Cricetulus griseus: one gene and its partner. The protein of the gene in region 1 purifies or fractionates together with the protein of each later gene. This does not show direct contact. Links are inferred from orthologs where the notes say so. Each region holds a gene or a part of one and is shown on either strand. Other genes may lie near its edges. The genes, in order: Dicer1 and Prkra.

Region 1 (15,224 bases):
TTCAAAATCACCTGTAACCAAATAACTGCATTTATTAGAACACCCTTCTCTCAGTGCCCAGCAAGAGCAACAGTGCAGGGACGAGGGTGGAGACTGCCACTTCTAGGGCAGAGAAGTCCTTTCTGCAGCCCTTCCCTCCAGGCTCCCGTCACTAAAGCATGAGCATACCCTCACTATGACAGCAGAGCTGTCACAGTGTGTACTTGGATCAGTGGAATAAAACCTTTAATGCTGCAATACGATCTCTGCCAATAACTAACTGCATATACAAACCCATGGATCATACTCAGTCACTAACCATCTTAACTAAAAACTACTTAACTATCCCCTTAGAAGGACCATTTAAAGAAACGAGCCATCTCAAGTTGAGTGTGTGATCACCACAAGTCACGATGCTGGTACAGCTGCAGAGCACATCAAGTTTAAGGGCAGCTGCAGTGTACAGCACACCAGCAACATTAGCAACAGTAGACCCACACCAAGTACTAATGCTGACTCTATGAGACCACATCCCCAGACAACTTCAGTTTTCTCTTTCTTTCTTTCCTTCTTTCTCTTTCTTTCTTTCTTTCTTTCTTTCTTTCTTTCTTTCTTTCTTTCTTTCTTTCTCTTCCTTCCTTCCTTCCTTCCTTCCTTCCTTCCTTCCTTTCTCTTGTTTACCTGTATTTTCTAAGAACAACAACAAAGCACAGATTATTGTGGAGGAGAAGAAAAAGGGAAAATTTTAATTTGTATTTAATATATTCACATGCTGGCTTCTCTAAGATACTCATTACTCATAGCCCACAGCTCTGGGATATGAAGAAAATTTCAAACCTGGCAGGTTTGATTCTCTCTCTTTATAGTAAAGGAAGCTAAGGCCCAGAAAGATAGACTTCCTTAAGAAAAAGCATTGTTGCTTCTATACAAGTTGATACAAAGGACAGTAAAAGAAGGAAGAAAAACTAACAGCCAGCATGCCTCACTGGCATCAAAAGAGAACTTGAATTTTAGTAAAACCCTCAAACTTAAAGAATTCAACTAGAAATGTACATGGATGGTTCCCTTCCTCACCTCGCTGCTGGCAGGGACTGCTAACAGAGGCAAAGTGGGGAGTGTAAGTGGCTGCTAGGGCTTCAATCCCAGACTCTACACTCCCACAGAAAGCCCAGAAACTCACTATTCTCCAGAGGTTTGGGCAATTGCAAAAGAGGCAGTAAAAACTGAAATCAGACAATGAGCTGGGAATGAACCCTAGACTAGAATGCAAGTTCCTTGGCCACTGGGTGCAGACGGGAAAGGGCAGCTGAGCAGTGTCCCTGCCTACAGAGCCAGAGCAGTGCAGAATGCACACACGTGAGCCAGGCGGCACTGGAGAGCAGCAGATGCCTCCCAGCGCCCAGAAGCTTACAAACAAGAGCTCCCATCGCAAACAATTCAAGTGTACATTTGCGAGGCTTACACCTGAGGTGCTACCAAATATTTCTGAACCAATTAATAAAAGACAGGAAGAGATCCTGTGACAGCAGAGAAGCGAAGGCCATTTTGGGGCATGGGAAGAGGTGCACTTGTACAGCTTTCTATGCCTGCTGTAGGAGCCTCACTGGAGGAACTGAAAACCCAGTCTCCTCGCCTGAATGACTACTTGGTCCATGGAGTGGGCAGCCAAGTCTCAAAAGCCTACCTGATCGAGGCAAGTCATTCTCAGTTCTGCTTGGAGATCCCACAGCATGTGAGCAGCCTGGCCCTGGCCTGGAACTATCCCTCTGGAGAGCCATGAGTCAGAGCTCACACTGCCCAAACACAGTCGGCTGCTTCCCTCAGCACTGAGTTCACAGTTTAAATAGCACTAACCTCAGAGTCCATCCCTTGCATCTCGTTCTTCTCAAGCTGAAACTGCACAAAGTCGTCAATGACATGGAAGAGCTCGGGAGAGACAGCTTTAAAGTACTTGTGGTAGTCATACTTCACAGCCAACGATGCAAAGATGGTGTTGTTGACCAGTGCAGAGCGCAGGTCAGTCAGGACCCCTGGGGAATGCTGCCGCGGGTCTTCATAAAGGTGCTTGGTTATGAGGTAGTCCAAAATCGCATCTCCCAGGAATTCTAAGCGCTGGTAACAATCTGCGCAGAGATCCAAAGTGCAACGGTGAGCCTGCATGAGCACATGCACTTTCTGCATACTCTGTCTGCGTGGGAGCAGATGAAAAAGTTGCAGTCCCAGGCTCCTTTCGAGACTTCTACCAAGAAACATTTTCATTTACCTTCCTCAATGAAATTATTGGACATATATTTGCTAATGTGCCTGGAAGTTAAGTTTTAACAGCAACTGAAAGCATATTTCTTATATATAAATTGGGTCATATAATCTTCAAGTGCCCAAATAATATGCTTGTTTTGGAGGACAAAAGGCACTTTCCAGACACAATCAAAGTCACAGCACCCCTTTCCTTGGGTTCTTACATTAGCCAGACAGGCACTGCGCATCATTCCTGTGTCTCTAGCACATAGTGGCATCTCAGTAAAGCCACATACCCTTTGTGCACTGTCATCAAGGCACTGTAGTGGTATAATTCCTTAGCACTTTCAGGGTTATACGGTACATGAGATAACAGCAGGGAAAACATGACTCTTCAACTCTAACTAGACACACGAACCTGACACAAACCAAGGCACTAAGAAAGAAGTTGTGCACTAGAATAAAACCCCAGACAAAAAGGGTTGCTTGTCAGAATGAAAAGCTACCAATGCTGACCAGCACTCTGATTTTCCTCAGGGTCATTAAAAGAATTCACTGAGCTGAGAAAACTGAGGCTGGGACAGGGCGCCCAGTTCCTGAGTACCTACTGGGTGAGGAGCAGGGAGAGCCAAGCCACCCTGGAGTCCAGGCCTCATAGCTTCTAGCAATGCATGCAAACTATGCCATTTCCTTCCCACACAGAAAAGCAGGCTTTAGTTTAACAACGTCACTTTCAGGTTTTATATTTTGTAAATGGCTTTAACCTATCCAAACTATAAGTTTTTTATTTTGATTTGATATGTTTGATATTCTTATACAAAAAGAAAAATAAAAAACTTTATCTGGGTCCAGAAGCTGAAGCTAACTGGCTCTGGGGACTTACTCTCCTTTTATTAGGAGACTACTAAATAAAGAAGGCGAAGGTGATAACAACAGAACAAAGGAAGTAACAAGCCCTTCCTATAGAATAGTTCTGTTCCTATAGAATAGTTCTGTTTAATCTTCTCATCTTTAGATTTAAAAAGCCCAGAAGAGAGGTACCTTTCTGTCTAGGAGCAACAAAACAATGTGGAAATATAACCTGATTATATGAGTAAATCAAGAAGCTAAAGCAGCAATGAATATCCCCGAGAAAGGTATTTAGGTAGGAAAGGATAGGAAACAGCAAAACACACAGGCTTCAGTTTCTAAGCCTGCAGCCTGTGAGACTCCATGTATGACAGGATGTAAGAGCCGCACCTCAACTGCCACAGTCACAGAGCATTCCTACTCCCCAGTGATGGAGAGCATAAAGAATTCTGCTCTCTGAGACTTCCACCCCCTGCCACGCACACTGAGCGCTAAGACTGCATACACGCCAGAACAAAGCACTAGACACAAAGTCTCCTTGTTGGGCTCCTTACCAGTGATAGTGTTGTAGTGGTAGGAGGCATGTGTAAAAGCCTGCAGAAGGTAAGCCTTATTCTTGAATCTGTAGTTGATTTTCTTCTCAAAATTTTCAAACCCAGATATCAGGTGGTTCAGGGTTTTCTCTGCATCTGGATGGTCAAACATACACCTTGGTGGGATCTTCAGGCAGCCATACTCCAAGTCTTTCCCTGCAGAGGAGCGTGGGCTGGCTGCAGTGGCAGCACAGCTCCCTGAAAGGCTCTTTTGTTGGCTGCTGAAGTTCTCCTGAGCAGGGTACAGGGCCTTTTCCCGGCTGGTCCTTTTGATGACTGGGAGCACCTTGAGCCCCAGCGAGCAGAGGAAAAGCTGAGCGGCCCTCTCGCCGCAGCTGGTTAAATAGCAGCCCAGCAGGGCCTCCACACAGTCCGCTATGCTTTTGTCAGCAATGCACTGCTCCGTGTGCAAGTCGTAAGAGATGGACTGCTTCCCTGTGTCAACGCCACAGTTCTCTTCTGATGGATTCCAGAAACCCACCACAAAGTCATCCTCTTCAACGGCTTTGCTAGGATCCAGATAACACATTGCATCCCAAGAGCTGTAGTCAAAATCCTCGAGGTCTGAGGAAAACGGCATACTGCCCAAGGAGGACTTTTTGGGCATTTTCCATTCATAAGCAGAATCGGAGGTTGAAAAAGGAGAAAGAGAAATTTTCTTCACAAAGGCTCCTGACCCCATTAACATGCTGTCTATAAACTGGATGTGCTCCTGATCATATTCCAGGAAGTCGTCTTCATACTCAGCCTCCTCTTTGGGAGCCCTCCACGTCAGGGCCTCCTCCTCCTCACAGTCCTTACCTAGTTTGCCATTAGCCAGCAAGCAGTCTTTTGTCTGAAACGGGGAACGGGAAAGGAGAGACAGAGCCGCTGTTTTTAAAAGAGTTTGAAACTCAATAAAAGCAAGGGTTATGGATAATTTCAAATGACAACCACAAATACTAAAAGGCAACTTTTAAAAATCATGGCCATTTGTTTTCAATTAACATTAAATAAGTTATTTAATCATATAAACAAAGTCAAGCATGTTCTTTGAATGCTCATTTTCTAAGTTATAAAATGACCTTTATCTAGTATAAATCTGTAAGTGAAAAATCCTGAACATGGATAAAGTTAAAATTGATGTCCACCATGCAAAACGTCAACTGAGTAGCCCTAACTACTGATACAGCCCTTGTGTGTCCATCAGAGGCCTTTCACTTAGCTGACAGAATTTGAAAATATGGTAGCCTGACTTTCAAACCAACAAAATGAAATTCCAGATGTAGAAAGAGCACCATCTTTTCAACTATATGCATAATATAAAAACAGACAAAATTTAAAAAACCTTTAATATTATAAACTACAGTAGGGTTTTATAATACTTTCTATTTCCATTTCAAATCAAAAACTATTTGCTACAATGTAAAACTAAACTGCTTTGCTTAAAAAATGAATGTGACCACTGAAAGAGGGGATGAATTTGTGAAATTATTTTTTCACCCTCTATTCTGAGCCATGGTATTCAGGCCAACAGATCATAACAGACTGACAAAATAGAAGAAAATTTAGACTAACATGAAACATAACAATCCCATTTCTGTCAAAAAAAAATCTTTGCTAATTCCAGTATCTTTGGCAAAAGCTTATTTGTGAATGACAACCTTAATAACGGGCTACAATTCAGCAGTGATGTAACCTCTCAGCAATGCTAAAAAGATGCTCAATTTCTGCTATACCATAAACACAAACTCACCTGGGCAGAGCCACCACCACTGCACTTGGGGCAAACAAAGGACAGTAAGCTTCAACTTTGACTGGGACAACTTTCCTAAGTATCCTGACAAAACACTTGCAAACTATTACCCAAGTGTTTTTCAAAGAGGCATATATTTCATTTTCAACCAGACTCAAAAGAGTTAGAAATTTGCTTGAATTTGTGGATTTGCTTGAGAAAATAAAATAACAGTGAGTCTAGCTCTGTAATCACGCACAGTCCACTGTTTTAAAAAATACACAAAACTTCTTCTGAAAAATAAAGAACACCAAACAATCAACAGGGTGGAAGGGATGGCTCAGACATTAAGAACACTGGCTAATCTTGCCAGAGGACCCGGATTCCATTCCCAGCACTGACATGGCAGTTTATAACCATCTGGATCAACACCCTCTTCTGGTTTCCACAGGTACCAGCATCTACTAGCTACACACACATACATCCAGGTAAAACACTCAGCAAGTAGCAAATCTCAGCAAACTGTCAGAACCTTTGTGCCTTTCCAAGATAAAATGAGAGGCTTTGACTACTTTTTGTTTCTGTTAGTTTTATCTGAGACAGGATCTCATTATGTAGTCTTGGCTGTCCTGGAACTCACTGTGTAGACCAGGCTGGTCTTGAACACCTGCTTCTGCATCCCAAATGATGGGAAAAAAGCATGAACCACTACACTGGCTTTATTATTTGGATCTTACAACAAAATGGGCCAAATTTAAATTACTCAGCCTGAGCTTTGCAAAGTTTCTCCATAAATCACTGTGTCTGTAACATGGTGGGCCTCTTGCACTCTTCATTCTCACAAGAAGATGTACTTCAGAAATGCTCTCCAAAGCACAAGTAGCCTCTGAAGAGTCTGTGTCTCAGACAGTACAGTCTACCTGAGCTACCCTCCCTCTTTCTCTTCGAAGAGGCATTCAGACATTGAGGCAGAAGGAACTGTAAGGACACAAGCCAAAAACATTTTGTGATTTCCCAGTGTGTCAGTTTAAGTAAAGCAGCAGATGAAAGCCTGAGGAGTACATTAGTGTATGCCAAGAACCACAGTGCTGAGTCGGCAGAAAAGGCCAGGAACCAGAAGTTGTAACAGTGTTGTAACATCTATTTCAGGAAAGTCCTGATATGTCCCTGACACCTAAAGGGTCAAATGGACAGAAAAGGAGGCCTGCTGACTGTTTTTTCAGAGATGAAATACTTTTTCTATGGTGTGTGTGTATATATACATATACATGTATGTAAATGTTATGTGTGTATGTTCTAAATCAGTAACAAATGTCATCCTTAGATCTAACTTAAAGTAAAATATTCTCTTAATGCAGCTAAGCTGCATTTCTGTGATAAGTCAAATCCTACTTGAGTTACATATATACTCAGCAAACAGGCCTGTATCAGAACAGCTTCCCAGACCACACCACTACATATGCTTAGGACTTATTGGGATAGAAATGTCCGAAATGAGGCATGAAGATGTTGCTATTTATAAACTTGTACCTGGCAATCAGAGTTGCCTGAGCAGATGGTAACTTCAAAGATGTATAAGACAGCTCTCTCCCAGCCACTAGCCCAGGGCACACAGACCTCCCAGCTGCCCCCTGGTGGCTTTTGGGACAAGACAAAGGAAGCTGTGGCTGCTAAAGAGATGAGTCTTCAGTCTCTGGCAAGACTTCAATTATTCATAGCATACTACAACCTTCCCAACCTTCCCATATGATGATCTGTTGTCCAATTTGCAAGAGCAAACAGTCTCAAGCTAGCCCTGCATCGCATAAGCTAGTGTGTGCTGCAGTGAATTCTTCTGGACACAGCCTGGTGATCACAGGTCTGCAAAGTCACTTCAACAAATAGCTAAGGATACATGAGAGTAAAGGGAATCTGAAAGGGATCTGATTTTATTTTTAAGTGGAAACATAACAAAATTTTATCCCCCTAAAATGAACACTATTTCTGAGGTCAGACAGCCTACCAACATATGAAATATCTACTACACTGCAAATGTGCTCAGTCAACAGAAACGGAGGTGCTGCTTACTGAGCGCTTGCTTACCATTTCATCCTTTTCCCATTTCTCTGCATTACTTTTGTCTTGATTGACCACATAACCAGGAGGAAGCCAATTCACAGGAGGATCAAATATTGACACTACCATGCGGCTGGGCAGTCCCTTCTTCTTGCCAAGGCGATACAGGTTACAGTTGCTGACCTTGGGTGGAAAAGAGTCACAAACACTTACCCATAAATGGTCATGGCTGGAAAACACACATGCCAATGTCCTCTGTACTACACAACCAGTCACCAAACATAAGGACCACACAGTTTTACTACCTATTTTTAACAATGACTAAAAATTCCCAAGTATTGGATATCCTTTGGTGTCATCAAATGAATATTCACTACAAATGGAGTCACAAAAACCTAATGTATACAAATTCCTTTCCTTATATACTAGTCAGAAAAAGAGCTCAATTTCAAAGTTGTAAAGCACAGATTGATAATATGAAATGCAAGACGGCAAGTGCAACTGGGAGCAGAAGATGTCACGACGCTGTGACTCGAGATGTCATGATATTCTTAACAAGTAAGGGAAGGACATCGTGTTACATGAAAACTGTCACTGTTATAAAACCATTGTATTTCTCTAAGCACCAATATAACTCCAATCCTAATATTCTCAAATACTGTTCTTTTGTTGTGGGTAACATTTTAAGACACTGGAATAAAAAGTGTTAAAGAACATTTGTTGTACAAGTACATTACTCAGGCAGCTTTATTAATCTTTCCTCTAGTCCACTTGCTTTTCCTAATGGCTCTATCACATCCCTAACCTACTTAAAACAGTAGCTGTCTAGCTTTCATTTGGAGACTAGGATCTAATACCATCAATTTCATTTCCAGTTTCTAAAATCGTACTGGAATACTCCAGGAGCCCTTTCCATATAACTCAAGTACTACTTAGTCAGCATGTCGCACCCATGATCAGCAGTGGCTAGGCAGTCTGGTAGAAAGCAGGCAAAGGGACAGAGAAGAGTCCTTATAATGTGTACAGACTGGCAGACAGCTCTGACTGGGACTACCACGTGCCAAAGTATTTCCCAACTGTCTATAATGGAGCCAATGTACATAAATGCTGGTTTCCTTTTCCACGCTATACAAGAGCATCCCAAGAGGAAGAAGGCAATAAGAGCCCAGAGAGAGAAAATATTCCAAGTCAGAAATGCTTGGTGGAATGGAAAATATACAACTAAGGACTTGATGAGAGGCAAAATTCAAAGCCAAGAGGACCAGCAATGAGGAAGATCACAGTGAGGGCCAGCTTTGAGCAAGGACACAGGCTGTGCAATGAGCATGAGGCTTGTGTCAAGAATGGCAAGCAAGAGTCTGGTCAGGATCTGTCTGGAAGAGCATTCTGTACACACTGGAACACCAGGCAGAGGAAACAATTATTTCTGCAAGAAATCAAGTCAAAGGGCTCCAAGTAGATGAATGGATAAAGTTTTGAATGTTAAAATAATAAAGTATCTTTCTTGCTTAATAGGGTCTAATATTCTTGTTTCAAATGCCTTCATGACTATGACCTTCATCCTCTAACGAGCCCTGAGACCTTCAGGACTGAGTTCTAGCTTCTAAGCATTCTTCCAGTCCCTATACCACAAGGTCTAAACAACCAGCCCTGCCTGATGCCTCGCTGTCTTTCTCATGACACTTGCCACTGCCACCCCCCACTGTAAGCTGTCACAATTGTCAGGTCATTGCACCGATGGCCTGTCCTAAGCTCACCGGGAAGTCAGCCAGCATGGATGTGGCCTCTAGTCTCAGACATACTCCTAAATATCTGGGGCTGGTGAATAACCTCACACAAGCTCATGCCCCTATCATCTGCAAAATGGTGGCACATGTCACTGCAATGGAACTGCAGGGAGATTAAGTGTTGTTTGTAAGATGTTTACATGTCTGGTGTTTGAAGCAAGCTGCCATGACTGGGACAGGCAAGGAGGCCCATAGCTATACTGTCAGCTCAATCCCAGCTCTGCTCCCTACCACAATGTTTTCGGGTAAGTTAAACCTCTCCTGCCTCATTGTCTTACCTACCAAATGGGCATATAAAAACATGCACCTTTCTAGGCTATAAGAAAACTTAGATTAAATTAAAGAAATTAGTATTTGTCTCTATACCTTCATGTATATGTTTTACATAAAAGAACTAGAATAAGAAGTTTGTTGAACTAAAATGATTTTTTCTGATATTATCACTCACCTCAGTCCCTTCCTTTCAGCCATTTTTGTTCTGCTTTTGGCGTAGCTGTGCTCTTCAGCCCATACTACACCCCGGGCCACATCAGTCTCTTTAGCGGTCAGCCTACTAACAGTAGCATCTCCTTGCTCAAACTTCCTCTCAAGTACCCACAGCATGTGCACTCCTGTGCTAAATCCTCTTCATACAGTTGGGCCTCTTCTCACACCTTCCCTCAGTTGGTTTCCCAGTCCCCACTGTCACTATTGAGTGCTACCACACTCGGCAGATGCAGCATTGTTTTGCACGATAAGGCGTAGTATAAGGAGGTTTCTGTCCCACCTGGTCCCACAGCTGTTTAGTCCCAAATACACACAGAGGCTTATATTAAGTATAAAAGGTTTGGCCGATGGCTCAGGCTTCTTATTGGTTAGCTCTCTCTTAATTATTAATACATTTCTATTAATCTATGAATCTATGCATCTCTATGTGGTCTTGGCTTACCAGAGAATGCCCAGCATCCTACCTTCCTGGTAGCTACATGGCCCCTCTCTCTCTCTCTCTCTCTCTCTCTCCCTCTCCCTCTCCCTCTCCCTCTCTCTCTGCCTCCCTCTTCCCAATATTCTCCTAGTCTGGTATCCCCACCTATACTTCCTGCATGGCTACATACTGCCTGTCCACTGGCCGAAACAGCTTTATCCATCAACCAATAAAAGAAACATTCACAGCAAGAAACATTCACAGCATACAGAAGGACATCCCCATCAATAAGGTTTCCCATGAGCACATTCTCTGACTCACAAGTGACACTCCATCCTACTTAATGCTAGATCATTAGCAGCTTTGTAAGTTGTCAGAGTTCTGTTTTCTATTTTATGACCACTTAAATATTTTACCTTAATTACTGTTCTTCCACACTAAGCTTATGAACTAAGCGAGTAAAGTGTTTGCTCTGCAAGCATGAGTTTAGATCCTTGGCACCAACATACAAACCAGGCGCTGTGACACTATCTGTAACCCCAGTGCTGGTGGGGGAGAGGGCAACCACAGAAGACGGGCAGATCCCGAGGGCTTGCTGGCTACTTTAGCTGAATCAGTGAGTTCCAAGCTCTGTGAGAGACCTTGCCTGAAAAAATACAGAGCTCACTGATAGAAGACACCTAAGACAGACCTGCAGCCTGAACAGATGCACACAGCTGAACATGCTTGTGTGCTTATGCACACAAATAAGCATGCACATATGTACACATAGGAAAATAAAAAGAACTTACTTTCTTGGGACTGTGGAACAACTGTTCAGAACTATGGGGCACCACTGTCTACACTGGGGAAAGCCTGATGCTCTTCCCTTGCTTGCCTGGCTCCCTGAAATTGGGAAGAAGTGCAACTCTTGGAATGACTGCATCTTACTCACATGCATACATTTGTTTACCAAAGCACTCTCTTAACCAAAGGCACAAGTCCCTGAACAGTAACACTGGCAATTTCTACCCCTTCATGATCTAAGAGTTCCACCCATTTGCACAGAGGTTTATTTAAACTGAACTATCACTAGAGAAGGTTATCAGCCAGCCCCACAGCCTGGTTGTACCATTGGTACACAGCTGTCATGCCACCTATGGGCAACGCCCCATGGGCTTGGCTGGCCCAAATATACTAGAACACAGCTGCACTGACGCGTGGAGAAAGCTCCATGGGTAACCTGCCCCATTTTCAGGCACACTGAAGAAGCTACAGCTCAGAATAAAAACCGTGCCTTACCTTTTTGCTTCTCATATACGAAAGGCGGCCCTCGTGAGCATCAGGGTAAGTGCAAAAGAGATATGTGGTGATAGCATGTTTTAAAAAGGAGTCGCCAAGCATCTCAAGCCGCTCCAGGTTAAACCCATCACTAGCATTTGACAGTGTCAAAGCCTGAAGAATCAGTCCAGGATTGGGGCCAAGAGTCCTTGAGGAGTACCCAGCAGAAGGGCTCTGCTCAGAATCCATCCTGTCCTTGAGTGCTCTCCCAGCACTCATCACGGCAGGCATCGTGGACACCGCGGGGCTTCCATCTGAGGTAGATGTGTTAGCGTTTCCATCAAGGTATTTATTACTCAGTAGAGTACATTCATTGCTGGGCTTGGGCTGGTTCTCATAATGGTATAAATTCTGAATGGGATATGAGGTAGTTGGTTGTACAGGTATTTCCTGCTTGAAGTAATTCAGCTGATTTCCTTGGCAAAAGTCTCTGTTAACTAAATCATAACTGCCATTGGCAAGATTTTTGTTGTAAGAAAGACCATTAATTGCTGTAAGGTCCGTTGAAACTTCAATTTGGAGCTTACCAGATGACTCAGCGGGTAGCCTTCTGCAGTTCACAGACATTTGGTCATGGTTTTCTAAGGGGGTTCTAGTAGCACCTTGATGTGCAGCATTTTCAGGGACTATAATTGTGCTGTGCTTACAGTAATTATCATTTTCAGCCAACGAGGAGTTACAAGTTGAGATGAAAGACTTGCTATCAATAGATTTTTTCCACCCGAAGTCTAAGTTAGGGTATCTGTAAAGACATTTTTATAACTTTCTATCCATTCTTCAGAAGGGTAAGCTCAGAACAGCAGCATTTTTGGATTAAAAACTAACAAAGCAAACAACTCTAAAAGTCCTCCTACTTATGAAGAAAAACACAATCCCAAGCTTAAAAGAACATAACTAGAGATTCTGCACATACTCAACTATAATGCACAACAGTTTGCTCTGGGACTTCTGCTTATGCACCCACAGCACGGGGCTTGAGAAGATCCAAGGAGGAGGTTCCTGTAGGACCTGGAGCCACAAACTTTCTGCTTAACCAAGTAAGCAGCTTCAAGCAACTTATAAACTCTGCACTTGGAAATGACATCCTATTCAGGACAGGACACAGAACAGAATGAGTTAATAAAGGCTATGTTGTTTAAACTAGTGTCTCATACTAAACCAAGCACTCAACTATTATAACATTATCTTTAAGTTCTTCCAATCCTAGAAGAACATCTATATAACCAAAATTAATTTGAATGATTAAGTAAAAACTTCTTTGGCATACGGAACTTTACTAACAGGGAAAAAATGATAAAGAACAAATGGATGGGGCTATAGAGATGGCTCAATGGTTAAGAGCACTGACTGCTCTTCCAGAGGACCTGGGTTCAATTCCCAGCACCCACATGGTGGCTCACAGCTGCCTGTAACTCTAAGATCTCATACCCTCACACAGATGTATATGCAGGCAGACCACCAATGCACATAAGAATAAACAAATTATTTTTAAAAAGCAGAGACGGAGGCTGCTACTTTCTGATATGTAACTCATTTTAACTGCTTTCACCCTCATTTTCAACATCACCACTGAAGAAGAAATGACTGCTCTGTCTCGGGAGCTTGTCTCTAACTTGACAGGAACAAAAAGTTCAGGACAAACAATACAGTTAACTTTCATGTTTGTTTTTTTGTTTGTTTGTTTGTTTTGGTTTGGTTTGGTTTTTCGAGACAGGGTTTCTGTGTAGCTTTGGAGCCTATCCTGGCACTCGCTCTGGAGACCAGGCTGGCCTCGAACTCACAGAAATCCTCCTGCCTCTGCCTCCCGAGTGCTGGGATTAAAGGCATGCGCCACCAACGCCTGGCAAATTCTCATGTTTTAAGTGTCCACGTTTTCTTTTCCATCTTTTAGTAACTGAGAAAAATATAATTTTGACTTAATTTTATTTTGTTGTAAATTAAATTTCTGGCCAGCAACACAGGCATACCTAAAATCCGCAGGAAGTGATCTGACTCCCACACCAGCATCGCTGGCTGTCTGAGCTCTTAGCTCCTCTGCAGTCAAAAGGCAGTGAAGGCGATAAAGTATGCTGGGGAGACAAACTGCTTTTCTCCACAGTGATGCTGGGATTGGATGTATAGCACAGAGTTCCGGAACCAGTATCTTAGAGTAAAGAAAAATATAGGCTGACAATATAGAGCACACACACAAATAATCAAAAGACCAATTTCTCTAAGGGATAATGATGAAAATCATAAATGCTATTAAAATCTAACTTCAAAAACTAATCCAATTTAAAACCTAAATTGGATTTATGAGGGTGATTTCATGATGCATCAACGGACCAATGTTAACAGCAAAACTCAATCCTTACCAACAAGGAGATTCAAAATAAATTCAAAACCCATGGTGACCTCCCAGAAATTCACAAGTCATTGTTATCAATATATTATTGAGACTATTAGGTCATGTTTGAACAGATTGTATTTATGTATGTGTGAATGTATGTATATAACAATTAATGAAAAAAGAGGGCATGAATTTGAAAGAGTTGAGGAAGGTGCATGGGAGTATTTGGAGGGCGGAAAGAAGTGGTAAATGATGTAAGTATATTAGAGTCCCAAGAATAAAAGAGCCAATTAAAAAACCATTAGGTCACGCTAGTAGCCATTCATTACCTGTTTGTTCTGCAGACTCTCCCATTTGGCTTTCCTCTTTTCAGCACTGCTTAGAGGAAGTGCTTTCCCCTTCTGATTCAAATGCCGAGGTGTCAAAAGGTTAAGTCTATAAAAATTTCAGAGCAGTTTTATCAAACAGGCAAACAACAGTACACCCTCACAGTGGCTGGACTCCAGCTTTAGTATGCCTACAAGCCACCCAAGGAGCTCATTCAGCACAGCCCTCTACTACCCGGGCAAGTCTTTGTGCAAATGATCTCTTGATTTCAAAGTCCATGGGTAGGCAGAGGCACCCTGACCCTAGAAAGTAAGCTGCTCCCCTACCTCACCTCCCCATCCACACCCAAGTGTCATTTCTGCAGCTCTTACCTGGAAGAGGTGTGGTCAACATCCAGCAGTGGCTGGTTGAGATTGGTCAGGTCAAGGTTATACTTTGTTTTATAATATTCTGCAAAAGTTTCATACTCGGGGGAAGGAAATTTACTGAGTGGGGTAAGATCAGTATACACATCAGCTACATAAAATCGATGAGGCTGATCAAAGTTTCGGTATCTAAAAATAAAGAAAATCAAGTTGCCTTTTCGTGCAAATCAACTATTCTCAAAGCACAATTAGTTTAATATAGAAACATGCACCATCATTAAGAATTCAAATGGCTAAAAGTAGATAACATTAACAAAATTTAAATACCAAAAATATATTTCAAGAGTTTGAGAGGGGTAATTTTTTCTTTAAGTCTATCAATATTATTTACATGAGAAATAATACTTTTCACAAAGTAAAAATTTTCACCTACAGAGGGAGTTTTTTGAGTTTTTGTCTGAATGAAGTGAACTGGAGAGATGTGTTCATATCTGGAGCACTCCACCCTGCTTCACCCACACCCTCAGGCACATGAACAAGCACAACATTTGCAAATACTGCCATTCTCCTTTGCACTCAAACACCTACCTGGGAATGATCACTGCATCTTGGTAATCTTCTAACTTAAAAACAAACGGTGTTTCTTTTGAATACTTAGTGCTGGGAATGCCTATTCGAGCTTCAGACTTCTCAATATCCTCCATGAATGTAAAGTCAATGTCCAGAGTGCTAGAGTCATTAACTTAAAGAAGAAAGAGTCTTTA
Region 2 (15,987 bases), on another chromosome or scaffold:
ATGTGTGTGGGGATTATAATCAGGGGAGAGAGAACAGTTTCTTCTAGGGAGTTTGAAATTACTAATCACTTGGGAAATCAATGCCTCGTTCTGAATAAGCTACATTCCATGCTGACAATGACCTAAGCAACTCAAGAGTCATTTCTGCTGTGACACTTGAAGTTCTGCTACTGCTGTCTCCTCCAACTGCCAAGTTTAACCCAGGCTGACGAGATAGACGCATATTCACTTACAATGCTGCATGCCGAAGCTACGCAAATAATTGGGATGGAGAAGTGAGAAAGTCTCTGTATTAAATCAGACCACTGTAGGCCTGATTACAGCTTAGTAATTCTCATCTTATCTGTCAAGAAGCACAAATACATAGTAAAGTTTGTTAGCCTTTCATGGTGACAAAGTGAAGTGCCCATGTGCAGAGAGGACATGCTGTTTGCTGATTTTGACAAATGTACCCAACACTCTGAGATGATCTTTGGGCTGCACAGAACAGAAGGGCCACTGCCAGCAGGTGGAAGGTCTCAAAAGCCGTACTACAAGAAGTGTGACTTGAAAGCCATCATAAGTCACTTCCATACAGAGGGATAAGCATCACCTTGTTGTAGCCACGCCTACTTAGGGGCTGGCTACAGTCGCAAGCATGGTCAGGTACACCTGTAGCCAGCCCCTAAGTAGGCGTGGCTACAGCTTCCCCTACACCTTGTGAGGTTCAAGGCTGGCCTGAGGCAAGCACTTACCATGAAGGTAAACAGGTCACTAGTTTTAAATTACCCAAACGCTTTAGAATGACTGAGAGAGAGCTACTGCATGGAACCTAAATATATTCCTAATCTGTAAGTCTCACTATGGCTAGAGAACAAAAAACCTAGTATACCCTAAATCCCATTGGCCCTTTGGCCAACTACGGGCAGATTACACATGACTGAACTCCAGGCATCTCTGGGTGTGTGTCAGAGAGGAAACTGAAGGCATGCTGTGTTCCACAGTGTGCCCAGTGTAAACTAAAGACACCATTTATGAGACATACAATGATGTAAGACTAATACTCTTTCTAAAACCACTGACAGTAGAAATGTCTGGAATTACTACCTCACTTAACAGACCCCTGTACTTTATACAGGAAAGGTATACCTTGCCTCCTTTTTCCAAATGAGAACTCCTAAGAGTACTTACAACTAGGTAGAGTGATATATGCCTATAATACTAGCATCAATGAGGATGAGATGGGAGAACCATTAGTTGGAGTTCAGCCTGGGCTACATAGTGAATTTGAGGCCAGCTAGGCTACAGAAAACAAAGTAAGACCATCAATTAATTAACAAATTAATACCCTGCATATTAAGAATATTAATATTGGCTATAAATAATGATTGCACCCCAACACAAACCACTAAAGCCTAGTTCATGACAGCATTCCTTTAACAGCTACTACCAGATCTAATTGGCTTAAATTGTCTTTAATGGATGGCAGGCTTTCACAGATATGGAATTTTAGAGTGAAGATACCAACAACTGTTCATTCTGTTGCTTTTGTGAGCATGTTAAAATTTTTCATCTTACCTCAGCCATGAAAATTTTGAGCTGCAGAATACAAAGAAATTTAGCTCACCAAATACTTGCATTGGCTTTCAAAATGTTTATGGCAGCCTCTGCAGCTCTATGCTTCGCCAGCTTCTTACTGGTACCTTCACCTGAATTAAAAATGGGGGGAATGTTCTTAGTCTCTGTAAGAAGTATGGGTTTCATAGCTGTGGTCACAGTGTAAAACAAAGTCACCATAGGCATGCTTGCTATTGAAACCATCCACTATATGCAGTTACATTACTAAAACACTCAACATGTGAAATCAACACACTAAAGCCAGTCTTAAAAGTATTATTTATTTTGAGTTTATGTATACCTATATAAAACACTATTTATAAGCTAGATCATATCACACCTCCCTAAGACACAGAACTTAGCAAACAGAACTTTGTTGTGGGATATCTGTATACTATGTAAAAATGTGTTGCTGTGATTGGTGTAATAAAAAACTGAATGGTCAACAGCTAGGCAGGAGGCAAGGGCAGGACTTCCAGGCAGAGAGAAAGTAGGAGATGAATCTAGGCTCACAAGAGACACCAGGGAGACTCTAAAGAAGTTGGATATATGGTATAGATCAGAGGTAACTAAGCCATGCAACAGAACATAGATTAAAACAAATGGGTTAATTTAAGAGTTAGTGGGACCAGCCTAAGATAAGGTCAAGCTTTCACAATTAATAAGAAGTCTCCATGTTATAATTTGGGAGCTGGCTGGAGGGACAGAAAAAGACTTATTACATTTGGTGCCTAATGCATGGCATGTAAATCCACACAGGACCTGAGAAAGCTGAAAAACAAGTTCCCAGGAGGCTCTTTGCTTGCAGCATATACAGGCCCTGCTACCAAGACGCGCTGCTAGCAAACAGTGGAATGGGGTTTATAAGCAGCAGGCACTTGGTGGCAGGAGACTAGGTAGAAGCACCTACTGGAGCTGGGGCAGATAGACTGGCTCCAGGCTGGGTCTGCAGGCCTGAGGCTACACTCTCACCAAACTGAGGGGGATGGAACCAGCTGCCATAGCTGCCTGGTATTCCAGGTATCTGACGTGGCCACTGAAGGTTTGTCTTACAGTCAGAGAAGGCTGCAGGTGTGCAGCAAAATGGTCCAGACCAAGAAAACTTTTAAACAGATATAGTAAAAATGGTAATAGATGGTCATAGAAAGAAATAGTTTAAAAATAATAAAGTCTCTAAAGAGAAAGTAAAGTAATATAAAAATAAGCCCTGCTGGGCAGTGGTGGCACATGCCTTTAATCCCAGTACTTTGGAGGCAGAGGCGGACTTCTGTGCATTTGAGGCCAGCCAGAGCTGTTACATGGAGAAACCCTGTCTCCAAAAACAAAACAAAACAAAACAAAACCAACCAAACAAAAAAGAATAAGCCTCATAAAAATGGGAAACACATAGGGTGCCTGGATCCTGTATGGTACTTTGTTGACTTTGAATTTTTAAAGCTAATGTACAAAAACAATAGCTGCTGAAGACACTGGATTATGGAAACTGCTAAATTAAACCAACTTATATATTTTAAGAATGTCTTCACTTCCGAATGGAAGTTGGAGAATGTGTTGTATTTGAGGAGAGGCTATGCTTTTGTTTCCACAGGTTCTCTTCAAAATTAGTAAAGATAAGATAAAAATCTTGATTATAAACATGAAAAAGAGACCAAGAAAGACTACAGAAAAGGCAACATCTACATAGGAACAGCTCTGAGACTGAACAAGACATGATAAAACTTGTTGGCTAGAGAGTCCTCATGATGTATTATTACATGCCATCCTTTCATATGGCGTGGATAGAGGTTTGGTTACACAGTCCAAATGGACTTATAAAGTTGACAGATGCCTTTTACCTGCTGAAACATAAAACAAAGAATGATTTTTAACTGACTTGTGTATACTGTAAATTCCACATTTGTGTTAATACAGATATATATATGTTACCTTTAAAAGTTTGTATGTTTTCAGGAAAAAAAAAAAAAAAAGGCCAGACACCATAAAGACAAGTAATCCTGGTGATTCAGCCTCTCAAAAATGCCTCTGTTACAGTTTAATCAAAATTCTGCATCCAGACCAACTTCAAGGCTGCTGAGATGGAGCAGCCTCAAAGACTATCCAGTCAAACCTTCAAATGAGCTTTACACTTTCCCATCACACAGAGATTAAAAAAAATAAGAACACAACTAACTTTCCCAGGACTTAACCATTATCTCAATTTTCTCAGGGTCCCCAAAAGATGTTGTTGCCCCCAGACAACAGGAAGCAGTCTAGAGAACACCATACCCACATTTCATGGTTTTTGGTCATTTGGTGAGGTATGGATATTTGTCATTATTGGTCATGGTCAGGAAAAAGCACTAAACAAAGGAGATTAGAGCCAAAGACCTCTTTCTGAAGGGAAAAGGAGGATATAGTATAGAAATGATGGGATAAAAGGGTGGATTGTGGAGTCTACTTTTGAACAAATATTAGTCTCATATATTTTACATTGGTGTAGATTTTCGTATTTTGATACAAATTTAAGGTTATTTTTATTATGCGATATATATGTTTCTACTCTTATTTAAGATATTGTACCTGTGCAGCTCATTTAAAAATGTAATGTAATGTTCTAGTCCTTGAAAGCCATTGAGGACAATAAAGAAAAACAGGTTAATAGTCATCTATAGCAATCTAACTCATGTTAAGTATGTTTTCAAGGTCAAACAGATATATTTTAAATAGATGGTCTTCAAACACTTCAAAGACCTACAGAATATGGCATTTAAAATGTTTTGAAAACATAAGGCTTTTCATAACAGTGAAACATATCTGCTCCTGACAGCACCAATTTACTTCAAAAAAAGGATGATGGGCATCAGAGAAACTCCCTATGGAGTTTCATTTCAATGTGACAAAGGTAGCCTTTTGGGATAGCCATTTGACAAAGCTAGGCCCTTGCCTCAACTGCTGACAGTATACTGTTCAAATTGGACAAACAGGACACAAAAGAAAGTGACTGTCAAACTTTGTCAAGACAAGGTAGGACAGTCCTTCAAAATTTATGCTTCACAGAAAAGTTTGTCAGATATTCTAGAACTATAGGCCTAAAATGCATGCTCCAATGTTATAGAGGAACCTTGGGTGACTGTCCAGGCAGGTGAATCTCTGTGAGTTCAAGGCCAGCCTGCTCTACTGATTGAGTTCCAGGACAGCCTCCAAAGCTACAAAGAAACCCTGTCTCAAAAAACAAAAAGCAAACAAAATTGTCTCTTCTAAACCTTCATGTATATAAGAACTGTTGTGGAATATTAATTTAAGATGTGTTATATTTGATAATGCTGTGAAATATTTGTTTAATGATTCAAAGATGTGTTACATTTGTTTGATTAAAAAAATTAATCTAAGAGAAAGGAAGATAAATTAGAATGCCAGAAAAAGCATTCTGAGTTAGACAACAATTTTATGGATTGAAATAAAATGCATTAGAGGGGAAAATGGCTTTTTTTCCCCCTTGAACACTCCTCACAAATATTTAAAAAATGACTAGTTAAAGTAGTAACTCAATCTAACCATGTGGATTTCTATATGGAGCCTTCCAGCCTATACCTACAATCCATCTACACACATAAATAAAAAGAGTTTCAATTTTTTGAAGTGGCTCCAATGACTAGACAACCCCAGATGCTCAGATACAAATATATGATACATTCAGATTACTAGACAGTGGAACTTTAGCTTTCCCTAAATTTTTTCTTTGTATATCTACAAATTAAATTATTCAACATTTTCATGCTTTTAACTAAATAAGTATATAGGAAAATGATGTCCACATTTACAAATGTCAACTCTGGTGGGCATTTTCTCAGACTCAGACTGAAAGAAGATATGAATCTGAACTGTAAAACCCCATTATTGTGTGACCTTGGTCACATGGCTTATGAAAATGTCTCTGAACTTGCTACTTCATGAATAAAAAGGGGAAACCTTATTCAAAATACCTGTATAGTATCTAGAATGAGAAGCTACAGTGCAATACAGCTTGATGGGATACAGTACAGGAGTCTCTGCCTTCCCAATATTTCATAGACACAGACTCAAAAACGGCACCAAGAATCCAAAGTTCCAGATGTGTCCATAAAGGGGGGAAACTCAGAAACTCTGAGGTCAGGCCTACATCTGCACTTGTAACTGTGAGAGGTAATAGTACCTACTGACCTAGCTATGACAGCCCAAGAACATTTCCAGTTTCTAGTTCTTAAGAGGAACTTTAGCAGGCTCCCTAGGTATAGGATGCTTGGATACCTTCTGCGTTTCTGAGCTTCTTCCATCTTAGGGAGACAAAAACTAGGGAGCGAAACACATGAAATTGATGCGGAGTGTCTCCTCTGCTCCCATAGGTGACTTTGGCAAAAGGGGGCACTTTTCCTAGCCGAAAAGCAACACAAAGTCAGGACCGTCAATCCACATGGTCATGGAGGTTAACTGCATACAGACCTGTGCAAGTTATGTCACCAACGGTTACTCTGAAGGTGAAAGTGGGCACGTGAATTTGCACATCGGATCTTTCACATTCATAAACTGGAATGTTCTTGGTCTTCATGCCGTATTCGTGCAATACCTGAATCGGTGTTTTCCCAGGCTTGGCTGTTATCATCTTGCCCAAACTGCAAAAATCAGAAAAAAAAAAAAAAAAAGCTTTACATGTCACAGCTGATAGGGAAGCAAAAACATCCACTTGTCAGTTTTGACAGCCACAAATAGTGACCAAAAAAAAAAAACCAAAAAACAAAAAACAAAAAACAAAAAACAAAAAACAAAACAAAACAAAACAAAAAAAACCTCCACAGCTCCCCAGAAGCCAGGGTCAGTGGCAAGGCCTGGGCGCACCTGTCTTTGGGCGCTATAGCCTATCGATGAGGGTAGAGAGGTCTGTACAGAGAGAACTTGAGTGCAGTGGGAGGGATGCCGAAGGAAACCGGGTGGGCTCGGGAGCTGCAGGCTACATCAAGCCTACACCCGAGTCCTGCACCCCTGGTCATATATCCCCCAGATCTGATAGTTGCCGAAGGGGCGGGGTGCGCGGCAGATCCCCCGGCCCGGAGGGCGGGTCCAGTGCGGTGCCTGAAGAAGGAGGGGGCTTTACCCAGAATGCAGCCCGACAGCTGGCTCCCCGCCCCTGCCCCACTGCCCACCCGTCTTGGGCCTGCGGCCTCGACGGCCCAGCGCTGACCTGAAGGTCCCGCTGTCCTCGCGCTCCAGCGGCGGGGCCTCGGCGCGATGCCTGCTGTGGGACATGGCGAGAAGGGACGGCTGTGCACAGTGACCGAGAGCAGTGTGGATCTGGGTCTTCCCTCTCCACGTCGGCCAGATCCCGAGAGGAGCTTGCCTGCACTGCTGCCTGGCTCCCCTTCCGATAGCTGCTTGCCTGTCTCCAGCAAAGGGACAGGCGGAGAGGGAAGGAGAGGCGGGGCCTCGGTGCGGAAGAGCCGGCCACACCCCCTCTCTGCCCGGCCTTTGGGCTCCGCCCCTCTCTACCATGCTCCGCCCCTCGCCGTGCCCTGTTCCCCTATGCCACAGCGCTGGGCGCCTTCCCGGTTTCCTTTCTGAGGGTCCCTGATCTTCCCAGCTTCGGCCCGCGCCCAGGTCCCACCCTCTCTGCCAGTCCCGGCTCTTCCCAGCTTCCAATGCTTATGCTCGCCTGGCCCCGCCCCTCATCTCCTAGGTTCCACCTCCATGCCAGTCCCAGCTCTTCTCAGTTCTGCCTGCGCCCCGCTTCGGTTCTCCGGGTTTCTCCTCCCGCCTTTAGTGGCGCAGAGGCTCAGTCCTTTGTCCTTAGAGGGAGGCCCTTTCCGGTGAGAAAGCTTCTAGTAGGCCGAGAGCCAGCATGTTTGAGGAGCAAGGACGAAAGACGAAGGGCTGGGTTGCTTCAAGAAAGATTCGAAAATTCCGAATGCAAAATTGCTAAGAAAATTCCGGATCTTCGCCCCAAAACTTGAGACCGGGGAGCGTCGGCTAAAGGGGCACCAAGCTATCCCAGGACCGGCTGGTTTAATAGTACTGGATCCCTGAAATCCTCTCCTGCCTGGCGGGCTCCTGTGGTCTGCAGGCTTTAGGACAGCGTTTCTCAACCTTTCTAATATAGCGACACTTGAATACAATTCCTCAGGTTGTGGTGAAACCCCCCACCATAAAATTATTTCGTTGCTACATAATTTTACTGCTGTTATGAATCGTAATGTAAATATCTCATAATCAGAATATCTGATATGCAACCTCCCCCCCCCCCAAGGGTTGTGACCCACAGGTTAAGAACCGCTGCTTTAGGAAACTACAGGATTCCGGATGACCAGGGAGGTGGGGTGCACAGTAAGGATATCTAGACCAGTTAGTTTCCAGGATAGCTCTTCCCTCCCCTGCTGGTTTATGCGGAGAGGAGTTATGATGTTAGTCTAGGATGCTCCGCCTTCAGAGTGTGTTGTGGATGTGTCAGACAGCGATACAGCGAATTTTAGAGGTTTGTGAACTACTTTGCACAATGACACCTGTGCTTACTTACCTGATGCTCTAGAATTAAATTCTAGAAATGTTCTCACGAACAGACAGCTATCAGTTATTTTTTAAAAAATACACTTTTTTTTTTTAGGTCGGAGTACAAAAGTAGTTGGTTTTGTGACTGAAATTTGGGTTTGGGTGCATGTGAGACCAAATACTTGGAAGCAAGTAAAAATATCCAGAATCGAATCAAACTGAATTCTACTGGGGCTTAGGTTAAGCCTATTCTCTCTTCCTTTATTTCTCCATAAGTAGTATAGGTTACTACCCAATAATGCTATTATATTACACTCATGTGTTTAATGAAAATTGTGTTGTAATAACCACTTTCAAAATATGTCAACCACCTACGGCCATACAATATCTCAGTATAGTGTTTTGTTTGTTTTTCCTAGAATTTAATTTAAATGGGTCCACAAAACTCCTTAACAATAAGCCAAAACTTTAAGTAACTAGTTTTCTAGGTTGGGTGATTGGGACAGTAGTGAGCAACAAAAAGGATGTAAATTCAGCAGAATTCTATCAGGTGATATAGTTTGAGCCATCAGTTTAAAGTAAGAGACTGCCATAGTAGTTTTTAGTACATAATGTAATTTGTAACTAAAAGCCTTTAGTATTCTATAGAGAGCTGCTTACAATTGTCCCTCTCTATTCTGTGAATTGATATTTAGTACTAAACACATAGTTTTATAAGCACACAAGATCCCAGTGAGAAAAATGCTGAATACTGTGAGGATTCAAAAGTGCTTTTCTGTTTGTTGCCAAAACTCACCTGCTGGCCTGGTGAAGGGATTCCTTTTGGATGATGTCCACCGTAGATCATATCCAGGCCTAATGTTAGGGCTTCAATTGCACAGTTTCCCATAGGGCTCTAAGCTCCTTCGGAACTGGTTTATTGCTTGTAGCAGAGCACTCTCAACTGTGGTCTCCTCAAGGACATTGGTCATGTGTTGAATTAGTTTTTTTTGTGTATGTTTTAGTTCTGTAGACTGCCATTCCCAGTTAGACTTGCTTTTGGCGTATCCTCTTACACTGCCATGTATTATTCATTACCTGAGTTCATGAGGGGAGGCAGTGTTGTGAACTGCACACCGGTAAAGTACCTGGTGAGAGCATGCTTTATACTTCTAACCTGCGTAATTGGATTTAACATCAAACAAGGCTCGGTTTGGTGTCTGATTTTCTTCATCCAAAATGGGTTTGTAAAAAATTAATAATAAAAAAATGGGTTTGTTGCCTGAGGGTCGCAGTTGATGACATCTTGATATTAATATGTTTGCTGCTGCTACCAAGAGCTTTGTTAAGCAAGTTGGAGATGGAGGGAGATTAGTGCCTGTTCCGAGCCTCAGCGAAGCGGACAAGTACCAGCCCCTGAGTCTGGTGGTTAAAAAGAAGCGGTGTTTTCTGTTTCCTAGACACAAATTTACCTCAACGCCTTTCACGCTTAAAGATGTCCTACTAGGAGATCGAGACATTTCAGCTGGTAAGTTTAAATGTTTGGGAGTGACTCTCCATGGGGCTGTATCAGTAATAACCTAATGGAGGTTGTATAGATTAATTATATTAATAATACACATTTTAAGAATAAAATCAACCTTTATGTGGTAGTAGTATCGTTAAGAAGAACAATGCTTAAGTGTTTATAGCTTCAAATCTCTTATTGCTTAATTTTAAACCCAATTATAAGTTGTTTTTAACTAAATAGACCAAGAAAACGGTGTATTTTGTCCTGTATAGTATAGGATATTATTTGGTCTTACCCATTTCACATGATCAATAACTGAAAGAGATTATTTTACAGTTTATTACAATAGGTAAACTCAATTTTTAAAAATGTGGGTGCTGGGGTATTAAATTCAGACCTTCAAGCTTACAAGCAAGCTCTTTACCAACTGAGCCACCTCCCAACCCTGAACTGCTAGATTATAAAATAGGCCTGATGGCTAGTCATTAGCTATGGACACTTGTTTTTGTTTCAGCTACCCATGGATCTTGATTGATGTATATGTATTCTGTTGTCTGAACAGAGAATTTGAGGTTTTTTTTTTTTTAAGTATTCTGTAATATTTTTGTAGTAAAATTGCCTGAAATGCTACTTCTCATGTGTTTGGAAATGCTGTCGAATTAACATCTCGGCAAAAGAATTTTTCAGTAATGTTAACATGATACTACATAAAGTCTAAGATGAATTTGAGACATTTAAAACTATTAAGTTCCTTCTCCTAAGGCATTTCATCTTATCAGTTACTGAATTATGAAGATGAGTCAGATGTCTCCCTCTATGGAAGGCGAAGCAACCATATTGTGAATGATGTTGGGATTAATGTTACTGGATCTGATTCCATCGCAGTCAAAGCTTCATTTGGTGTGGTAACCAAACATGAAGTAGAAGTATCAACATTACTCAAGGAAATTACTGCTCGGTCAGTACAAAGATCCTTGTGTACCACTGTATTCTCATTAAATGATTTAACTGTATCAACTCCATTGCAAAGAATGCTTAAAACATTTTGGTTGTGTTTTAGAAGTTAATAAATATTTTCCCTTCATTTGAACGACCTACATGTTAGTGCCTAATTAGTACCCCAACCCAATAAAAACTCATTTGATAAGCATTTTTAGTTGTTTCACAAAACATCACTCTGGTTCTACATAATTTGCTAAATTAATCAATTGAAATAATATGATCTGTGTTTCCAATAGACTCTCAACAGACAGAAAAGAACATTCCATAGAACCAGGAGAGTCAGGTGTGGTTGTACATGCCAGTAATCCCAGATATTTGGGAGAGTAAGACAGGAGAATCACAAGCCTGTTTGGGCTATATAGTGAGTTCAAGTTCTTCTTGGGCAGATTATTGAGGATCTGTCTAAATAAAGAGGGGGTGGGTGACTGGGAGGTGGCTTGGTGATAGAGCACTTGCCTATATGCACAAGGCCCTGGGTTCAGTCCCCAGTTCTACAAAAGTACAGCCATGCCTGCACTCTATAAAATAAGAAAAACCATTGACAGGAGAGGCAAATTTGTTAAATGATTTATATTTTCTGATTTGCATTATAACTGCCTCGAGTCACAGTGAGTTAAGATGGACCACAAATAACACAACAGGTACCTTTAATTCTGTATAACCACATATTAAAACATCTTGTGCATGTGTCTTTTTTAAAATTTTATTCTAGAAAAATTAACTTTGACCACAGTTTGATCCGCCAATCAAGGAGCAGCAGGAAGGCCGTGCTGTGCGTGGTCATGGAAAGCATTAGGACCACGAGGCAGTGTTCCCTGTCTGTGCATGCTGGCATCCGAGGCGAAGCCATGCGGGTAAAAGTTTGGAGAGCAGCCAGATTTGGTTCCCAGCACTCTCGTGGTGGCTCACAAGTGGTGATAACTCCAGTCCCAGGGATCTGATGCCCTCTTCTGGCCTCTGCAGGCACTGCACATGCATGATGTACATGTATGCAGGCAGGCACTCATACATATGCATAAAAAAGTAAAAAATCTTTAGAAAAAATTTAAAAATAGAAAAGTATTTATATTGTTTATCCTTACCGACTAGTGATACCTAGTGCTGATTTGATAGGTGACATTTTATAGTAAAGAAAATGAAATTATGATTTTGTAGGAAAATGAAATTGTCAAGTGAAATAAGCCAAACACAGAAAGGCAAATATTGCATATTTTCTCTAATATGTAAGATCCAGCTTTGAGGGGTGTGTGTGTGTGTGTGTGTGTGTGTGTGTGTGTGTGTGTGTGTGTGTGTGTGTGTGTGTGTGTGTGTTTATGTGTGTGCATGTATTTGTGTACAGGTCATGAAACCATAAAGAAGACCATAAAAGGTGAAGAAAAGATTGTGGGGAGGAGGAAAGGAGATGGAATACATGTGATATGAAAGCAGAAGGGAAGAGTACATGAGGGTGGAGATTAGTATGAAGGTGGTGTAGGGGACACCCTAACCACGCCTGCTCAGGGCTGGTTACAGGTGTGCCTGGCCCTGCCCTCTAGGGTGTGGTCAGGGTGACTAGAGGGAGGTTTAAGAGTGAGGGCCACACACCTGGGAGCCCCTTCTTCCCCTTCTTCTTCGGCTTGTTCTACTTACCTCGTTACTTGCCGGTTGGCTAGGCTGTTCTGAGTAAGTAGGGCCCTCCCTAATAAATATCCTTATCAATATTTAACTCCGTATTGATAATTCACCTTTAAGGTGGAAAGGGGAGGGCAGTGGCAGAGGACAAATTAGAACAAAGTGCATTCACACATACACACACACACACCTCATTATGAAAACCATAAATTTATTTATTTTTTGTTTTTTTGAGACAGGGTTTCTTTGTGTAGCTTTGGAGCCTATCCTGGCACTTGCTCTGTAGACCAGGCTGACCTCAAACCCACAGAGATCCGCCTGCCTCTGTCTCTGCCTCCAGAGTTCTGGGATTAAAGGTGTGAGCCACCAACACCCAGCACTAATATAATTTTTAAAGTGGGATGTTGGATGGCTCTGTCTATAAAGTACTTGTTCTGCATGGGGATCTGAATCTGACCCCAAGCAAAAGGATGGAGGCTACGTGTTGCAGTGTGCATCAGTGATTCCAGCACAAGGGAGGTGGCAGAGAGAGGAGGATCTCTGGGACTGGCTGGCCTTCTAATAATCTTACCCAATCAGTGAGCCCCATGTTCAGTGAGCAACTATCTTAAAAAAAAAATAAGATGGAGAGCTGACCTCTGGCTTCCATATATATCCACATACATGTGGTCATATACCCCCATGCATGTGTACACACATACAAACACATACCCATGCATATGCCACACACATAAATGAAAAGAAAGAAAAAGAGAAAAAAACTCATCTTGTAGACATTGAACATAGACCGGGCCTAGCAGAGGCTGGGCTGGTGGAAACAATGTTATTGTTGGATAGGATAGGGAAATTTAGTCCTGCTGGCTCTTGACACAGCAGAATGAAGATAATTATGTCCCATACTTCTCAAAATGGTTAGAGGAAATGGATGTACTTATTATAAAGAAATAGTGAAATTTTAAGGTGGTAGATTAATGCACTAATTACCCCGAGTTGATCACTGTCCAACGTGCAATGAACCAAAGTAGCACATTGCCTCTCGTAGGTGTGTACAAATATGGTGTGTTGATAATTCAGGAAAAAAATAAAATAAAACCACTTGTTAAAAATATAGGACTAGGACCAGTGAGATGGCTCAGAGTAGAGAGCTTGCTGCGCAAACCTGGTAACCTGAGTTCTATTCCCGGAACCCATGATAGAAGAAGAATGTTTGCACAAAGTTGTCTTGTGATATCTCTGCATAACCTGTGGCATGCACACCATCCCACACACATCATAAAGAAACACCTCTTAAAAAAATACAGGATTAAGTCATCTTTTCAACCCCCTCCAGTTGTAATTTAACACATTATGCATCTCATCTATGCAAGATGACCAAGACATTCCAGGGACACTAGGTGCCTTCTCATAAAGCTATCCCATTATATTCTTCACTACATTAGGAGCATTCTGCTCAGAGTCTGTATTCAGATATCCTCCAAATTCTGATTAACATCCGTCATTTGAGGGGCACAAGCTGAAACATTTACTCGATGGTGGTCATTTTTGTGACTGGGAGAGCTTCCTGCTGCTGTGGGGCTTCTGAAGTAGATGGGCAAAGCTAGAGAAGGGTTTATGCAAGAACACTGTGGTGACACTAATTGCTGACTTCAAGCCTCAAGTGGGGGAGCTAAAAGGTCACCAGCCTCTAGGTGACCTATCATGCATGGGTGTCCAATGGAAGGGTTAACTGAGGCAGGGCAGTGCTTTACTTGAGTAGGTGGCTGTGTTTTTTTTTTTTGCGGGGGTTATTGGAAGTTTGTTTCTCCGACAAGCTACCCTGCCCTGCTGTGTAATGATGTTATTTTATCCATTTGTTTACTGTAGTTTCATTTTATGGATGAACAGAATCCCAAAGGAAGGGAAAAAGCTATTGTTTTCCCAGCACACACAACTATAGCTTTCAGTGTTTTTGAACTCTTCATTTACCTGGATGGTGCCTTTGGTGAGTAAAAGATATGTAAAAGTTCAAATGATTTTTTTGGGGGGGTCTTCTTTTTTTTATTTGAATTACAAACAAGATTGAATTACATGACAATCCCAGTTCCCTTTTCCCTCTCAAGTGATATTTTTAAGGGGAATGTGATAGGAATGAATTCCTCTCCCTCTCCCTCTCCTCCCCCCATTTCCCTCCCTCCTTCTCTCCCCCTCCCTCCCTCCATCCCTCCCTCCTTTCCTTGTCTTTGTCTCTTTCCTTATGTCTCCCCTCTCGTTTTCATGATTACAGATGCATGATGCATTCAGTAAGGTCAGTCTTATGCTAGGGTGGAGGAAAGCACCTTGTCTACTTTCCCAGCACCTCTTTTGTGCTTCTTAGTGAAGACCCTATACTACCCCACTTACAGTTACAGGTTAGGAATAAAACAAGGTCCAGTGACAAAATATGCCTTAGCTTTTGTGGGAAGGATAATAAATGACTTCTAATAGGCAGCTTGTAGAAGTGGCAAATAAGGAATCCGAAGGCAGTAAGTTGTCTGACGTCTCTGGTGCCCAAATGGATGGCATTAGTTAATAGTCAACCAGTCAATCAATCAATTTATACCTGCTTAGATATAACTTCCTAGCTGCATGTTCTCTTAAAAATAATAAAAGAAACATTTTAGAATGCTAAGTGCTTCCTCTACAATTGTCATCTTATATAGCAGCTCACTTTAGCTTTCTACATTTCACAGGACTTTAAAGTTAGTTAACTGCCAGCCAGAACAAGACCAGATATAGCCCCAAAGGACCAGGCAAGGGAGTCCCCTAGTTATGGTCATTTACATTTGTAGAGCTTCTTTTGTTAATTTCTGTAGTCCTGGAGAAGGGACATTAGGAAGTCTAGAAACAAAACTACATTTTAAGTAAACTGAACTTTGAATCCTGTAGTCAGGTTTTGCAGTTATACTGACTGTATTGTAAAGATGAGTACAAAACGACATTCATCAAATGTAATCTATCTATGTGCACATTTTTTTGGCCCTTCGTTTCCAGGAATTCATGCTTTAGGTATACTGAGACATATGCACAGTGACAGAGTAACAGGGTCTTTATTTCCTAAAACAAAACATTAGAAATAGCCTTGGGGGACCCAGTAGTGATACATCCCATGAGCACAACAGAGGAGGATAACCATGATGAGTGGGTAGCTCTGGGCATGCAATGATCTCTGAGAGGTATTTTAAAGAACTATGCATGATAGTTTCTGGAAACTCTGCGTTAAATCAGCACACACAGAGCTTCTAAAGGATAACAGGCCTGTGCCACACTGGCTCCATACAGGCTGGATTGGAGGTGTGTCACTGTATGACTTTAATCTCTCAGTTTTGTACTTGTCAATGTATCATTTCCTCAAATGTGTAAAGTTTAACTTTATCTAAAAAACAGTGAATTGCATGCACGAGAATTCTATCCTCTACGAAATACTCAAATATTAGTTAACATCTCAAATTTGTTTCGTAGACCTTTGTGTCACATCAGTGTCAAAAGGAGGATTTGAAAGGGAAGAAACGACCACCTTTGCCATGTTCTACAGACTGAGAAATATACTCTTTGAAAGAAGTATGTCTGCTGAAGGGGGTTTGTGAAGGCATTCTTCCTGTGTCAATATGTGAGGCTGCCTACTCAGTAACCCATCAGTTAACATGTTTAAAGCCCAATTATTTCCTGATGGATGGTTGGGACTGATATCTTTCTAAATGCTGCTTGGGTTGCACAATAGTTTGGAATTCTAACACATTTTGGGTTCTGTTTTGCAGATAGGAGAGTGATGGATGCTATCT

The links.
Region 2: the proteins of Dicer1 (region 1) and Prkra purify together in Homo sapiens (co-immunoprecipitation; 4 studies listed by BioGRID and IntAct, with this or other methods). This does not show direct contact. The link is inferred for Cricetulus griseus from reciprocal best matches to the Homo sapiens genes DICER1 and PRKRA.

The regions. Positions count from the first base shown.
Region 1 is NC_048598.1:190,317,691-190,332,914, reverse strand, and holds part of Dicer1 (endoribonuclease Dicer), read right to left. Parts: intron 15,203-15,224; coding exon 15,049-15,202; intron 14,650-15,048; coding exon 14,467-14,649; intron 14,204-14,466; coding exon 14,098-14,203; intron 13,583-14,097; coding exon 13,407-13,582; intron 12,182-13,406; coding exon 11,401-12,181; intron 7,612-11,400; coding exon 7,456-7,611; intron 4,495-7,455; coding exon 3,621-4,494; intron 2,103-3,620; coding exon 1,834-2,102; intron 1-1,833. UniProt on the Homo sapiens protein: Double-stranded RNA (dsRNA) endoribonuclease playing a central role in short dsRNA-mediated post-transcriptional gene silencing.
Region 2 is NC_048599.1:98,394,640-98,410,626, reverse strand, and holds the start of Prkra (interferon-inducible double-stranded RNA-dependent protein kinase activator A), read right to left. Parts: upstream 7,032-15,987; 5' UTR 6,856-7,031; coding exon 6,791-6,855; intron 6,225-6,790; coding exon 6,055-6,224; intron 1,689-6,054; coding exon 1,607-1,688; intron 581-1,606; exon of another isoform or gene 234-580; intron 1-233. Other genes in the region: Pjvk (pejvakin), read left to right, coding at 9,385-9,595, 10,340-10,535, 11,292-11,433, 14,054-14,171, 15,668-15,766, 15,964-15,987. UniProt on the Homo sapiens protein: Activates EIF2AK2/PKR in the absence of double-stranded RNA (dsRNA), leading to phosphorylation of EIF2S1/EFI2-alpha and inhibition of translation and induction of apoptosis.